Linked DNA regions of Pelodiscus sinensis. The protein of the gene in region 2 purifies or fractionates together with the protein of the main gene of each other region. This does not show direct contact. Links are inferred from orthologs where the notes say so. Each region holds a gene or a part of one and is shown on either strand. Other genes may lie near its edges. The genes, in order: TLE2 and CCT4.

What was found.
Region 1: the proteins of CCT4 (region 2) and TLE2 purify together in Homo sapiens (affinity purification with mass spectrometry; 3 studies listed by BioGRID and IntAct, with this or other methods). This does not show direct contact. The link is inferred for Pelodiscus sinensis from reciprocal best matches to the Homo sapiens genes CCT4 and TLE2.

What each region holds. Positions count from the first base shown.
Region 1 is NC_134729.1:15,421,702-15,429,708, reverse strand, and holds the start of TLE2 (transducin-like enhancer protein 2), read right to left. Parts: upstream 3,013-8,007; 5' UTR 2,544-3,012; coding exon 2,520-2,543; intron 2,339-2,519; coding exon 2,241-2,338; intron 1,689-2,240; coding exon 1,625-1,688; intron 155-1,624; exon of another isoform or gene 140-154; coding exon of another isoform or gene 119-139; intron 4-118; coding exon 1-3.
Region 2 is NC_134713.1:180,785,032-180,793,152, reverse strand, and holds the start of CCT4 (T-complex protein 1 subunit delta), read left to right. Parts: upstream 1-4,977; 5' UTR 4,978-5,140; coding exon 5,141-5,261; intron 5,262-6,393; coding exon 6,394-6,446; intron 6,447-7,326; coding exon 7,327-7,416; intron 7,417-8,121. UniProt on the Homo sapiens protein: Component of the chaperonin-containing T-complex (TRiC), a molecular chaperone complex that assists the folding of actin, tubulin and other proteins upon ATP hydrolysis.

The DNA.
Region 1 (8,007 bases), on a different chromosome or scaffold from region 2:
GTACTGAAAGTAAACCAGAACACAACCGGTTAGAACTCCCCATTTGCCACTTGACAACCAATAGTTACCAGCCGGCCTCGGTAGCTATTCCACGTGGCTTCCACCCGTCCCGGCCAACCTGGCCCTGGTGTAACTCCATCAGCAGTCGATTGCAGAGACGGGTTTCGCTTTCCTCGGGATCGGGCCCAGATTTACTCTGCCTGTCAGAGGGGCACGCTCGTAATTCTATCTGGTTGTAGGGAATGGTGCGAGGCACTGGCCTCCTCCAGTTCTGAAAGGGTGGGAGGAGCCCACAGGACAAAAGCCCCCTCCCGCCCCCCAGAGGTGGGAGGGGCCACACAACCAGGATTCAGCTTAGTAGGGAGGACAAAACCAGGGCCAGGGGAGTGGTTCACCAGCCTTGGAGACTGAGGGTCTCTCCCTGGGCAGCCGTGGAACAAGCTCCAGGGGCATTGTTCCAGGAGGGGTGTTCAGACTCCGCAGCCCAGTCTAACCCGGGCCTATTCTGATGGGCCTGCCACAGCACCGGCTGCTGAGTGTCTGGAGAGGGTGCGTTAGGGATTCAAGACAGTAGCTCGGGATCTTTGATTGGCCCTGGGGGCGGAACACCCACGCGAAGGAGCAGTCAAAGAAACAAAAGGCGGCGAATTCACAGACTCCTAGAAGATATGGGTGGGAAGAGACCTCAGCAGGTCACCTCCCGCAACCGCCTGCTCAAAGTGTGACCATCCCCAAGGACTTCAAAGCTGGTCCCAGGAACTGACTCTTTTCTCCGGACGAAAGCTCCGTTTATTCTGCAGAACTCCTTACCACAAGAAGTCACAGAGGCCGAGAACTTGGTAGGATTTGGAAGGGGATCATACCCATAAGAAAGTAAAGCCAGAACGACAGTAAAAATTAAAAAACCAATGTGTATTCTGGAAGGAAAATAAACCCTTATGCTTCAGGGTATGCACAACCCCTAGCTTTTGAGGTCAGGAGGAAGTTTTCCCAGGAGGCAGCCTGTCCCAACACTGCATACCAGCCTCCTTCTGAAGCAGCTGGTAACATCCGAGACAAGATATTGAGCAGGAATGGGATGCCAGGTTTAATTCAGCATGGCAGTCCTGTGTCCCTATCCCCTTGCCAACCTCAGCCCTAACCCCACCAGACCCTTCCAGCAGGCGGCTTCCATTTGTCGGAATTATGGGATTCCATTTCCAGAGCCCCTGGCTGAGTCCATCTTGGAAGGACACCCGGCTGTTCTTTCTGAAATGACCCAGGGTTTGGGTTGGGATTTGGCTTCTGACGACCCCCATCTCCACCTGGACGTTAATAGTGCCGAGGCCAAATTAAAAAATGGCATCATTCCCAGGATCTCACCGCACCAGGGAAGCAGCAGCAGACGTGACAGCAGGAAGCGTTGCTAGGAATAGATATTAACTCCTTCCTGACCGATGCCCTTCCCCACCCCCAGCCCCAGGGAGAGCACCCAGAGGCACATCAGTGCTCCAGCTTTCAGCCAGGAGTGGTGGCCCTTGGGGGCCAGTTCCTAGGCTGAGTGGCTTGTTAGCTGACCCAGCGGGATGACCACTAGGCAAGAGGCCCCCTAGAGAGGTGCAGGGGCAGGTGGCGGGTCTCTTACCATGACATAATGTCTCTGCATCTCCGTCTTCTCACTCGCCAGCTTCTCACATTCCAGCTTCAAGCTGCAAGGGAACCGCCTTCTTTGGCAGCCTGCTCCACCTCCGCCCCCAGGGCCACTGGGCAGAGCTCCCCCCAGCCCCCCTACTGCGGGAGTCACTCCGTGCCACGCACGACCCCCCCCCAAGGGCTGCCACCACCGGCTCAGTCCTGGCACCTGGCTCCCTCGGCAGGACAGAAATGTAGCCCTCAGCCCCACTCCCCTCGGCTCCTCTCCCCTCCGCGCTAGGCACCTGTAACACCGAGTCTAGCCTGGCTGCTGCTTCCCCCGTTCCCTAGGACCCTGGGCACAGCTCGGTGCTCTCCTGACATCCCTCTGGCTCCTTGTGCAAACTACCTGCCCTTTCCCTGAGCTGTGACCCAAAAACCCTCCAGAGCCCCCCCACCCTGACAGGTGTGTGCCCAGCCATGCCTCATACTCCTGCCATACCTGTGACCCACAGAACACCCCCCATGTAAACCTAGACACCACTGCCTCAATCTCTCCTTTTACCTGGGATCCTAGACACCTGTCTGGCTGTGTCCCTCACCTGCCCCCCATACTCCCCGTCAGTCACCTGTGATACTGAGCCTGCAGGAACTGGAATTCTTCCTTAATCCGGTCGCAGATTTCCAAAATCGAGAACTTGAAGGGCTGCCCAGACTGAAGCGGAGTCTAGAGCGCAGAGCAGGGGGAGATCAGACACAACGCTGCTGCCACCCACCCCATCGCCAATGCACTGCCCTCCCCTCCCTTAGCTCACGGCCCAAGGACTGCCCCTGCCCCTGCCCCATGCCAGAATCCAGCCCAGCTCCTGGCTTTCCCCAGCCGGCCCGGAGCACAGGATGGTACTTACAGGGTGCCGTCCTTGTGGGTACATCCTGGGGGGCTTGCCCAAAACTGACGCCCACCGGAGGAGAGAGGCCACTCTCTTTTCCCTCCCCAGCCCCGCTTCTTTTTTAACTTCTCCAAAAGCCGCCGGTCCCCGGGAGATCAAGAGGGCGAGGAAATCTTGTCTCAGGGAGGGATGGCCGGATATTGGAATCTTCCTCGGATTTGTTTTTAAATAAAATTATTTATTGTTGTGGGTACGGCTCAGCCGGGGTGAAGAACATTTCCGTCGGGTGAAAGGGGCGCGAGGCTTCCTCCCCAGTGGGTCGTACTGGTCCGGGTTGCTTCAGCCCCCCCATCGGACACAGGGCTGGGGGAAATACAATCTGTCTTAAAGCGCCAAAGGGAAAAAAAAGAAAAGAAAAAGAACCAGCAGGAACAGAAGGTCAGTAGAAAATCTGGCCGGATTTCAACAGCGGTCCCTGGCTAGAATGAAAACTGCCTCCTGGCAAGGCAAAGGGAGAGTAGGGGAGTCTGTCGAACTGGATCCTTAAGGTGGCTCTTTCTCGGCAGGAGGTGGCACCAGGGGCTTTGCCCACGGCTCTGGGAGCCACACCAGGGATGCTTCCCACCCTCTAGAGGTGCCGGAGGGCAGCAAGGCCTGGGAGAGCGACCCCCCCCAGGCTAACTGAACTGAGGGAAGCAGCTGCTCCCACTTCCCTACCAGCACCCCCACATCCTGCTGGGCCGGGGAGGGTGGGTTGCAGCCGACTGGCCGACTCAGTCTCCAGGTTGCTTGGCCAAAATGGGGGGGGAGGGTCAACCGCCTCATTGACCTTTCATGTCCTAAGGGCTCTTCAGCTCCCATCTGGCTCTGCTCTATCCCTGCATGGCCCCCCTTCAAGTGTGGGGCTGGGCTGCATTCAGATAACAATGGGGACCCCCTAAATATTCCCCTCCCTCATGCCCTGGGCACACCCGCCGGTCTCAGGCCCCTTCCTTGTCCTTCCTCTGTGCCCCAACATTTTCTTCCTTCTCCTCTGCCCCCAGACTCTCCCCCCTGGAGTTCTCCCACCCTACTGACTGCTGGGATCTTCCATGGCCACAGGGACCCAGGCTGCCCCCCCGTAGAGCCCTGCATGGGTACAAATTTGTATCCACATCTGTATCTGCAAAAATGAGTCGCGGCACTCTGCATGCACATCTGCGGCTGCGGAGCCCCGTGCTATAAAGCGGATTTGCTGGACTCGACCCCTCCGCCAGTGCCTCAGACAGGTGGGCCCAGATCTGAAGGGGCCTGGGTGAAAGCCCCCTCCCCCAGACCCAAATGAAACCAACCTCAATAAGCATTGCCCTCTTGGGGCCCGCGGTGCCTCCATCTACTTGGGTTCGTTCTTCCTGGCCCTTTGGACAGCAGAGCTACACAGCCGCTTGGCGCTAGCCCCTGGCTTGACCCTGGGCACAGGGAGCAGCACGCACTGTGTGCTCTGCAATAAAGGCGTCATAAATCTATACTCATCAAATATATTCAGGGTTAGAATCTCTGTTTGACCCAGTGATCCAAGCCAGGCTACTGTGTTCCCCAGGCCCTGAGCTGCTGCCAGGACTGGTTTCCATGGAGAGAAAGGAGAAAAACTAGGAGCTGGTTTTGGTGGTAGGAAGGCACCTACCCCACTGATCCCATTCCTCCCAGCACCTCCTGCAGGGAGCAGACCAGCGCGGCTCCCCACATGGCTTTATAGCATGATTCATACAGAGCAAAGTTCTCCTCCACCCATCACATCTGCCCCATCTCTCCTACACCCATCATGTCTGCTCCCATCTCTCCTACACCCATCAGACCTGCCCCATCTCTCCTACACCCATCAGACCTGCCCCATCTCTCCTACACCCATCATGTCTGCTCCCAGCTCTCCTACACCCATCAGACCTGCCCCATCTCTCCTACACCCATCAGACCTGCCCCAGCTCTCCTACACCCATCATGTCTGCTCCCATCTCTCCTACACCCATCAGACCTGCCCCATCTCTCCTACACCCATCATGTCTGCTCCCAGCTCTCCTACACCCATCAGACCTGCCCCATCTCTCTTACACCCTTTTCTACAGCGCCTCCTGCTGGCAGGGTCAGAGCCAGGCCCAGCCAGCACTCCCGCCCCATTCCCTACAGCGCCTCCTGTTGGAACGGTTGGAAGAACAATGTCTCCCTGCGTTAGAGTGATTCCAACAGGAGAGTCCCCTGAAACCACAGCTGCTGATTATTAGGCCGGGAGGCAACAGTGCAGCCGGGTTTTCCCAGGCTCCCGAAAAACTGGGAAAGGCCTGATCATTCCTGAAGCAGAAGCTTCCAAAAGCCCCCCCCTCCCCCCAGGATCACCATTAATTATTATTATTATTATTACACCCGAGCCTTCATGCTGGTGCACAAACCAGCCCCTAGGTCCACCTTAAACAGCTTTGCAGCCTTTGCTACTGGGGACCAGCTTCCATTGGCTGCAGCTGGCTGGGCGCCCCAGCCAATCGGCCCCGCCAGTTCCCACATGGGTCTATGATGTCAAAGGCTTCAGAGGCTAATCAGGAGCCAGAGAAGCTGGAGGATAAACAGAAGTGAGCTTGGGGTAGGGGAGGGAATAGCTCGGGCAGGCTGGGATTTGTAGTCCACCCCACCCCCCAGCACCTGCCTCTTGGGGCAGCTCCCAGAGTTCCAGAGTTAGTTTATTGGCAGCCGTAGGCTGCACAGACTGGGGCTCTCAAGTCCCCCCTCCCGCTTTTTTCAAGCATCCTTCCCTACTCCGTTGTGAGTTGCTGTCACCGCCCAAGGCAGCATCCTGCTTAGACAGACTGGGGACCGGATCACTGCTTCCCAGCCTTTGGGCGAAGGCAGCGCGGACCACTCGCTCACCCCCAGGGCCTGGCGTAGGCCGACTTCGACTTCTCTATTGGGGGAGCTCCAGGCAAGCCAATGGGGCCGTGTGGGGAGCAGCAAATTCCACCCCATCAGGGGCTTGCATTTTTGCAGGGGCAGCAACATGCCTGTGCTCCCCCAAACTATGCCCCTGGGGCATGTGTATCCTTCTGGAGTAAGGCGGTGGGGGCAACTAGGAGCTTTTGGCTCATGCCTCAGCTTCCCTGGCTGCAAAAGGAGGAGAAGGATCCTGACCCTCTTTGTAAAGTGACGGGAGAGATGCAGCTGGAAAGTGCTAGATAAGAGCTAGGGATTATGATTTATTGACAGGGACCAGGGTCCTTAATCTCCTCCCTAGCTTGCCCCCTGACGGGCAGATCTTTGGGGTCAGGGCTGTCCTTGCTCCATGCCTGCACCAGCTGTCCTCCCCTCCTCCCCCTTGGCAAGCAAATTAATGCCCTGATCTTCAACCCCTGGCTGTTCCAGCCACCCCAAAGTGCAGAGCAACTACAAACTACATTGCCCACAAGCTCCTGCGCCTAGCTCCTCTGCCCTGTCAATCAAAGTAACGTGGGGCCCTGCTCCCTCCTCACCACCCCACCCGAAGTGGCTGGCTGGTATAATTACAGCACATTGATCTAACTGAGCAAGGCTTTCCTGCTGGCCATGAATCAGGCTTTCCAGAGAGGAGCACATATCTTTAACACAGCAGCACCTTCCATCACCATGGGGGCCTCGGCAGACACACACACGCCAGCTCCCTCAGCCCACAGCAGAGTGAGCCACAAACAGAGCTAGGGCCGCTCTTCCCCTCTGAGAGTGAACCCCAGCCAAGTTCTGCACCTTCCGCCCCAACGGCCCCAAAGACAGAGCCACCTTTGGGGGACGCCGTCGGAGCAGCAGGCTCCTGAGAACACTGCAAATTCCAGCCCCTGCTGCTGGGCCATCACAGCCCAAATTCCACTCAGCAGCAAAGCTTGTCCCATTTGCAGGGATGTTAAAGGTGTTATTTCCCTAGGAGGGTGGGGGAGCACTGGGCTGGGTTCCCTGGGGAGGGGGTGGAATCTCCATCCCTAGAGGTTTTTAAGCCCTGGCTTGACAAAGCCCTGGCTGGGATGATTGAGTTGGGATGGGTCCTGTTTTAGTAGGGACTTGGACTCGACCTCCTGAGGTCTCTCTCTTCCAGCCCTTTGATTCTATGATCCTCAAGTTGCTTGGCTCATAAGAACAGCGTCTCCCCCTCTGCCCAGCCCAGAAAATAAAAAAGTTCTTTCCTCTCAGCAAAATGCAGGACTATGTAGCACTTTAAAGACTAACAAGATGGTTTATTAGATGATGAGCTTTCGTGGGCCAGACCCACTTCCTCAGATCAGATCTGAGGAAGTGGGTCTGGCCCACGAAAGCTCATCATCTAATAAACCATCTTGTTAGTCTTTAAAGTGCTACATTGTCCTGCATTTTGCTTCAGCTACCCCAGACTAACACGGCTACATTTCTATCACTTTCCTCTCAGGATTGTGTAGCGTGCTATGGGCCAGCGTCTGTGCTACACCCCAGAGGTGGCTGTGTTTGTGTGGCTGCTGTAGTTGTGAAGCATGGTTGTTGGACAGTGGTGGCCCTTAGCAGTGCCAGTTTGATATCAGTGTTAGGAGGCAGCCAGAGGTCTCCTGAGTCCTCTTCTGGGCACTGCCACCAATTTGCTAATCTCCTTTGGTGTGTCCCTTTGCCTCAATTTCCCCAGCTGTGAAAAGAAGATAATATGGATGCACTGAGAGTGGCAGATGTGCTGCATGACGATTATTCACTGGGTTTCAGCAGGCCTTGTTTTTCCATCAAGGACAGAGACAAGGGTGTGAGGGGTAACCCTATGGAAACAAAAACCAAACAAACCCCAAAGTGCTAGAATTTTGGCCAAAAAATTCCAAAGGATGATTTCATTTGTTTTGCATGTTTCGCTGCAAACCTAAATGCTGCAATTAGGAAAATGGCTCCCGTAAGGCAGCAACTGCGTGGGACGTATTGTCGACACCGTCCCCCCAAACGCTCCTGACCACAGTAAATTCCCAGGATTTCAGGGTATTAACCACACTTGGCTTGGCACCCAGCTAATACGCAACAAACCTTTTACTGCCACTGCTAACCAACCGCGGAATTCCTGAGGATGGCTGTCCAATTAAAACTGTGTTCAGGGCTCAAAAGCGGGGCTGATACGGAAACGCACAGGGCTGTCAAAGCCCTGCCGCTCCCTGCTCCTCTCCGCCAGTTTCAGCTCTTGGAATAACAAAACTCCACTCTTCCCTAAAGCCCTTTGGCAGGGGAGCACTTGAATCAATTAAGCATTGCAGCACCCATGGGAGGCAGGGAAGGATTACTACTCTTCCTGGGTACATGAGGCAGTGAGTGAGTGAGGAGTAGAGCTCAGGACAGAACCCAAGAGGCCCCCATGTTCTAACCACTAGACAATTCTGCTTCCCTCCCAGAGCTAGAAATAAAATGAACCCAGGAGTCCTGGCTCTCTGCCTTTCTGTTCTAATCACTAAACCCACTCTCTTCCCAGAGCTGGAAATAGAAAGGGCCCAGGAGTCCTGGTGCCCAGTCAATGTTCCTT
Region 2 (8,121 bases):
AGAGGATGTTGTGAAAAGATTATAACAGGGTTCAAAAAAGACCTAGATAAAATAATGGAGGATAGGTCCATCAATAGCTCCCTAGTCTTTGCCAGAAGCTAGGAATGGGAAATGAGAGAGGGATCACTTGATGATCATCTGTTCTTTTCATTTCCTTTGGGGGCACCTGGTATTGGCCACTATCAGAAGACAGGATACTGTGCTAATGGAGTTTTGGTCTGACATAGTAGAGCTGTTTCTAGGTATGTTCTTAATAATGAAAGGTATGTTTATCTATGTTAAAACCAAGTTATACAAGGTGGTTAGCTGTACACTCTTGTGTATATAGAATATTAGTGTTGTGGGATGCCCTGTTTAACTATACAGGCAGTCTCCGACTTACGCGGATCCGACTTATGTCGGATCCGCACTTACGAACGGGGCTTTCTCGCCCCGGAGCTCGCAGGCAGTGGTCCGCCACCTCGACCTCCAGGGCAAGAAAAGCTGCTCCTGGTGCCCCTGGTCTGCTGGGGACCGTCTCCAACAGACCAGGGGCACCGGTAGCAAAGCCGCAGCAGCGGCGGGTCCCGCGCCAGAGCAAAGCCTCAGAGGCGAGGAACCCCGCCGCTGCGGCTTTGCTCCCCGTGTCCCTGGTCTGCTGGGGGGGGGGGGGGGCGCAGCTAGTGTGCCCCCCCCCAGCAGACCAGGCTTTTGTTGTGGACCCTGGGGCCAGAGCAGCTGGGGCGCTGCCGGTTGGTCCCGCAGCGTCGCTCTGGGCACTACTGGACCAACCCGGCAGCACCCCAGCTGCTCTGCCCGAGGCGTCCTGATTCAGCCGCTGCTGGTCAGTTTCAGCAGCGGCTGAATCAGGACGCCTGGGGCAGAGCAGCTGGGGTGCTGCTGGGTTGGTCCAGTAGCGCCAAGGAGCGGCGCTACTGGAGCAACCCAGCAGCACCCAAGCTGCTCTGCCCCAGGCGTCCCCAAGTCAGCCGCTGCTGAAACTGACCAGCGCTGACTACAGGAAGCCCGAGGCACAGTTGCTCTGCCCTGGGCTTCCTGGAATCAGCGGCTGATCAGTTTCAGCAGCAACTGACTTGGGGTTCTTAAGTTGAATCTGTATGTCAGTCAGAACTGGCGGTCAGTTTCAGCAGCGGCTGAATCTGGACTCCAGTTCCGACTTACATACAGATTTAGCTTAAGAACAAACCTACAGTCCCTATCTTGTACGTAACCCGGGGACTGCCTGTATACAACTTGAGTGTGTCGATCAAAAAAGTCCAAAAGCAAGAGAAATTTATGATGCAATGTGTAATCCAGAATTTAAAGCCTACCTGCTATTTTTGAAATATGTTTTGGATTACATGAACAAATTCAATGCTCTCTTTCAAAGCAAATCTCCACTCATTCATTGCACTAAACCAGCACACCAGGGAGACGCGGAGCAGCTTTTCTCGCCCCGGAGGACGCGAGCGGCGGGACCGCGGCGCATCTGGGCGTCCCGCCGCTCCCGTCCTCCGGGGTGAGAAAAGCCCCGTTCGTAACTGTGGATCCGACATAAGTCGGATCCGACATAAGTCGGGGACTGCCTGTACTTTGAAAAGTTTCACTGACTCTGGTTTAATGCAATGAATGAGTGGAGATTTGCTTTGAAAGAGAGCATTGAATTTGTTCATGTAATCCAAAACATATTTCAAAAATAGCAGGTAGGCTTTAAATTCTGGATTACACATTGCATCATATATTTATCTTGCTTTTGGACTTTTTTGTTCGACACACTCATGTTGTATATAGTTAAACAGGGAGCCCCCCCACAGCAGACCAGGGAGACGCGGAGCAAAGCCGCGGAGGATGCGGGCGGGACCGCGGTGCGTCTCGGCGGTCCCGCTACCCGCGTCTCCCTGGTCTGCTGGGGGGGGCGCAGCTAGTGCACCTCCCCCTGCAAGACCAGGCTTTTCTTGCCGACGACGCCTAGGGTAGAGCAGCTGGGGTGCTGCCAGGTTGGTCCCGCAGCGCCGCTCCTCGGCGCTACTGGACCAAACCGGCAGCACCCCAGCTGCTCTGCCCCAGGCGTCCCCAAGTCAGCCGCTGCTGAAACTGACCAGCGGCTGACTACAGGAAGCCAGAGGCAGAGTTGCTCTGCCCCGGCTTCCTGGAATCAGCCGCTGATCAGTATCAGCAGCGGCTGACTTGGGGACACCTGGGGTAGAGCAGCTGGGGTCCTGCTGGGTTGGTCCCCGCAGCGCTGAGGTGCGGCGCTGCGGGGACCTACCCGGCAGCACCCCAGCTGCTCTGTCCCAGGCGTCCAAATTCAGCCGCTGTTGAAACTGATCAGCGGCTGACTCCAGGAAGCCCAGGGCAGAGCAACTCTGCCTCGAGCTTCCTGTCGTCAGCCGCTGGTTGGTTTCAGCTGCGGCTGAATCTGGACGCCAGTTCCGACTTACATACAAATTCAACTTAAGAACAAACCTACAGTCCCTATCTTGTATGTAACCCGGGGACTGCCTGTAATTGCAACAAATTACTTAAAACCACATTTCCTAAAAGGTGAATTAACAAAAGTTAATATGTCACATCCCTCTAATTTTATCAAAATTAATGAAATATATACTGGTCCAGAGTGTGAGGAGTACTTAAAATGTATTGATCCTAGTGTAGCTCTGAATGTAAGAAAAGTGATTCAGCATTATTACATCACTTGTTGTCAAGAAATGTAGCACAGGCTACCACTTGACTCAGTTGTTTTCTCAGAGGTTGGATTTATAGATCCTAAAATTTGTCTTAATGTTGATGTAGATAAAGAAAAAAAAAGATATCTCAAAACTTTGTGCAATATTTAAGATAGATGTGAACTCAGAGCCTTGTCATTTTCTTTAGAATCAAATCAAATTGAATGTGTAAAGAATAAGCCTATCGATGCAATGTGGCATGAAATTTCTAAAATGAAACATTTTTCTGGAAAATTTATGTTTTCAAACATTCATAAATCAGCTCAAAAGGTTTTAGCATTGCCACATTCAAATGCAGAATGTGAGAGAATTTTTTCAATGGTTACAGACATTAAAACTAAGAAAAGGAGTAACATGAAAACTAAAACACTTAATTCTAGTGTAATTGTCAGATCAGCTTTTAAAGCAAAAAAAAAAATGTTCTAGTTTTGTAATTACAAATAAGCATTTACATTTACATAATAAAAATACAGTAGACTTCCGATAATCCAGAACCTTTGGGACCAAGGTGGTGCCAGATTATTGGATATGCCGGACTATCAGGCGGTACTATAAACTGGTTTTAAATATATATATATATATATATACACACACACACACACACACAGACACTGTATACCAGTGGTCCCCAACCTTTAGAGGCTCCCTGGCGCCCGGGGGCGGGGCCACTCGCGCTGGGTGCCCGGGGGCGGAGCCGCGCATCCTGGGGCACACCAGGGGTAGGGATGCCCTTGCACTGGGCGCCGGCATGTGCCCCAGGGCCGGTGCCGCCCGAGCGCCTTGTGCCGTGGGCCCGGATGTGCCCCGGGGCTGGAGCCGCCCGAGCGCCACGCACCAGGTGCCGGTGCGTGTCGCTCGCCTGGGGCCGGCGCCTCCAGTGCGCCGCACGCCGGGGATGGGCCGACCCAGGTTGTCGGCGGGCACACAGAAATGCCTCGGCGGGCGCCATGGCGCCCGCGGGCACTGCGTTGGGGACCACTGCTGTATACAGTATATACTGTATATAAAGTGTTTTAACCCTTTTTATTGTGCATACTGTATATAATATACTGTAATGTTTTAGTTTTTTTAACCCTTTTCACTCGGTTCAGCTGCTTCCTTGAGGAGTTTTCTGCTGAAGCTCACTCACTAGGCTCTTGCCATTTTGATGCCGGATTATCAGGAGTGCCGTACAATTGGATGCCGGACTATTGGAGTTTTACTGTATGTACAAATATGGATATGCCAGAAAAACTGGCAGTCAGACTGATAAAAATATTAATGGTGATGACATTTCTAGTGAGGAGTCGAGTCATGACTCATCTGATGAGTAAAACTCATCGTGATAGTTAAGTATTATGTATTAAATATTCTATTCATTTTATATGAAACGAAAATCTTTTATATTTGAAGTGTTCCTTTATTTATCATATATAACTGAAATGTATTCTGAAGTGTATACTGTACTGATTTTACCTTGAGTAAAATAATTAAAATGTTTTATTATTCTTTCATTTTATGAAATACCATCCATGAAGTAATTAAGGATATTTGGATATATAAAAATAATTATTTTTGGATGAAAAGTTCAGCTTTAATAACATTATATTTTTAATTATAAAGAGCATCATAAAATCATCTAAATTATTGTCATATATTTCGAGTTAATTATATATATATATATATATAAAACAAATGAATTAACTATACATAAAATAGCCTTTATAACATATACAATTAATATGGGAATTTTTCATCAGATTTGAGAAATTTTTAGCGCTGGCCTGGGAAAAGTTGGCAACACGATATCGAACCGCTGCCCAGCTCTGCCGACGCTAGGGAAAGGTGCGAGCGCAGCATTGCGCGGACAAGAGAGCCGCAGTCTGCTCAGCGAGCCTGGGGGCGAGACCCCACCCCAAGCTGCTGCTGCTCCCGGGAAAGTGGGGCGCTGCGAGCGGGCGCCTGAGAGCACTTGCACCGCCTCAGAGCGGGCCGGTCCGCCCCCCAGCTCATCCCTCCCGCCCCGCCCCGGGCACTCCGCGCAGACCGTTCCAGCCGCTCAGGGACCCATCGGAGTCGGGCCGTTCGCTCCTGAGAGATTCCCCTCCCGCCGCGCACACTCTGCACGAGCCGCGCTGCCAGCCGGCTCAGGACACCCGCGCGCTCAGCACTTCCCATAGCGGACAAAGCCCCGCCTCGCAAGATGGCCGCGCCGGCCCCGCCTCGCGCAGACCGTTGTCCCCGGCCTATCGGCCGGCGAGCGCGGCCCTAATGACGTCACTCGCGGCGTCAGTTCGTTCCTCCCCTTTCGCCTGCGGGTGGCTCTGACGGGCCGGGAGGCGCAGGCTGAGGCGGTGCGTTCTGGAAGCTTCGCGGCGGGGATCGTTAGCGCGGGCCGGCCCGGTTCATCCGTCTCCATCCGGGACTTAGACGCAGCGAGGCGCCGGGGAACCGACATGCCGGAGAACGCGGGGCCCAGAGCCCTCCCGGGTGGCAACGGAGGCCGTAAAAGAAGCGCCTACCAGGACCGGGACAAGCCGGCGCAAATCCGCTTCAGCAACATCTCTGCCGGCAAAGGTGCGCCCGGCCCGACTGATGAAAGGGACCGAAAAAAAAATCTCTGTCAGGGCGGAAGGGGGGGGGGGGTCGGGGGATCGGTGGCGGCCTCTGTCTCGCCCGCGGTCCTGTTCCTCCTGCCGTTGTGCGGGGAAGCGCGAGGCGGCGGCTTCTTCCTACAGTGACCCCCCCTCCCTTCAGTCCCATAGTCGTGGGGGGTGAAGACTCCATCACACACACAGACCCTGCCCCCACCCCACCCCACCCCACCAGCGGGCCGGACGCCTTCGTGGAGGGTGAATTCTAGACAGTCGTCCCCCCAGGCTCCATCACTGCATCAGCTACAGCCGCTGCTGGAGACGTTTCTTCCTTTTAGCTAACACCGCATGGGCCTTGTCTGCAGGGGAGAGAGTGTTCTCTGCAAACCCTCCCCCCCCCCCCCATTTTTTCTAGGTTTTTTTTTTTAATGTAGTAACTGTTATGGTGCTAAGACCAAAATCTGGTGGGGAAGGGACTGTAATTGGCAGTTGTCATAAGGCCTGATCATTTTACCGGGGCAGAAGGCATTGAAATTTGAAATGTAAATAACACTTTAAAATTATATAGTGAAAGGGTTAACTTTTTAATTGGGATTAAGACAGTCTGCTGCAGGTGGCAGGTCTGCTCCAACCAGTTAACTGTTTCCCAGGTAAACGTGGGTGTGGCTAATTACCAAGTAACAGGGTTTACTTTTTACATCCTTAATTGAAATTCACTATGAGACCAGTGAAACCACTCAGCATTTTTAAATCTGTGTGGCTTATAATACCATTAATACCTCATTGGATTTGAAAATACTTCATTCACATAATCAGCTATTGATTGTCTTTAACATATTCCTGGTGTTAGAATTAGCCATGAAAGCCATGCACTTTATTTTTCTTAAAATTTTTTATGCTATATCAGTAAATTTGTCCTTGATAAGATTATTAAATAGTGATGCAGACAAACTTGTGTGGGAGCCATTTAAAGTTTTCTGTCCTTTTCTATACAGAAAAAACTATGTTCAGACTTGCAGTATTAATTTAGATGCTAATAAAATATACAAAAACTTGTAAAGTTGAATGTTAGTAACTAATTGCATAAAATAATTTCATTTTTACTCCTCCTTCAGCGGTTGCTGATGCTATTAGAACAAGTCTTGGACCAAAAGGAATGGATAAAATGGTAAGCTTTGAGATAAGTGCTTGAATATTTTAAAAACATATTATAAATACGTAAACAAATTTCAAAGTTTTCTTATAAGAATAGTTTTCTTTTGGGTTTTTTAATTTGCTAATCACAAAGGTGTAACTTCTAGTTACGTGCACATGATTATTGTTGGAAAAGATAATACATTGAAACTTTAGTACTAATATTCCCTTTGGTTTAAAGGAAATATCGGGTAGTTTATGACTCTTTAACATAGAATCATAGAATACTAGAACTGGAAGGGACTTTGAGAGATCAAGTCCAATCTCCTGCCTTCATGGCCAGACCAACACTGATCTAGATGGTGCTATCCCAACTGGTGAAGAGCTGGCATTCCCCTACCCCCTCTTAAAGAGACAGAGCCATGGCGGGAATCATGGCAGCGGGGCGCTTTTTTTTTTTCCCCTCTTGATGAAACGCAGCCCTAGGGCAGTGGTCCCCAACCTTTCGGGGCCGCCTGCGCGTCCGGGGACGGCCCAGATGATTCAGCAGGTGCGCACAAATGCCTCAGCGGGTGCCATGGTGCCCATGTGCATCACATTGGGGACCACTGCCTTGGGATTCTGTGGCCAAATAAAATTGGGAAACACTGATCTAGATCATCCCTGATAGATGTCTATCTAACCTGCTCTTAAATATCCTCCATTGATGGAAATTCCATAACCTCCCTAAGTCCACCCTAAACCTCCTTTGCTGCACTTTAAGCCCATTGCTTCTTGTCCTATCATCAGAGACCAAAGAGAACAATTTTCCCCCTTCCTCCCTGTGACACCCTTTTAGATGCCTGAAAACCGCTAAATAAATGTCTTGTGTAACTAAGGTCATAAGTATGTATAGTATTTAATTTCTATTTTAGATTCAAGATGGAAAAGGAGATGTGACAATTACAAATGATGGAGCAACTATTCTAAAACAAATGCAGGTTCTGCATCCTGCAGCTAAAATGGTAAATTACTTTTAATATCAACCTGTAAACCAACCTAGATTGCAGAGAACTCTTAAGGAGGCAGTGGTAGAAGTGATGGGCAACATAGACTTCATGAAAGGCTCTCCATCTCAGTGAGCAGCAAGATTGTTGTAACCAAGATGGTCTGCTGGGTTAGGATAGTTGTGCTAATTGCATTTGCATACCTGGAATTTGTGGGGTGTACTGATTGAACTCTAGCAGCACTTTGATGGGATGCAGAAGGAGCGCATGGCTTTTACAGTCAATGTTGTGTGCATGTGGTATACACTTCTGTTCATATGCCCTTTATGTGCATACCACTTAAGTAATAACAGTAAGTAAAAAAATATACACAGACAGAAACCCGCAAAATCTGGCAACCTTGCACATGAACTGTGTAATCAAAGTGTCTTGTGGGCCCCACACATAGAACCCTGATGGACCACATGCCCATCACTGATTCTGGGCATTTACATAGGAGGGAGGGAGGGAGAGAGAGAGAGAGAGAGAGTGTGTGTGTGTGTGTGTGTGTGTATTTTTGCAGCACAGCAAGTCTGCGATGCACTGGGGTTCTGGCTTTGATGTTTTTTCTATAGACTGGGGGAGAGAGCCTGAAAATCCAAACTTCAAGTAATGGTTTGAGTGTAACGCAATACAAGTTTGCCACAGAAAATGCCACAGAAAATGTTATGGAGGATGCTTAGA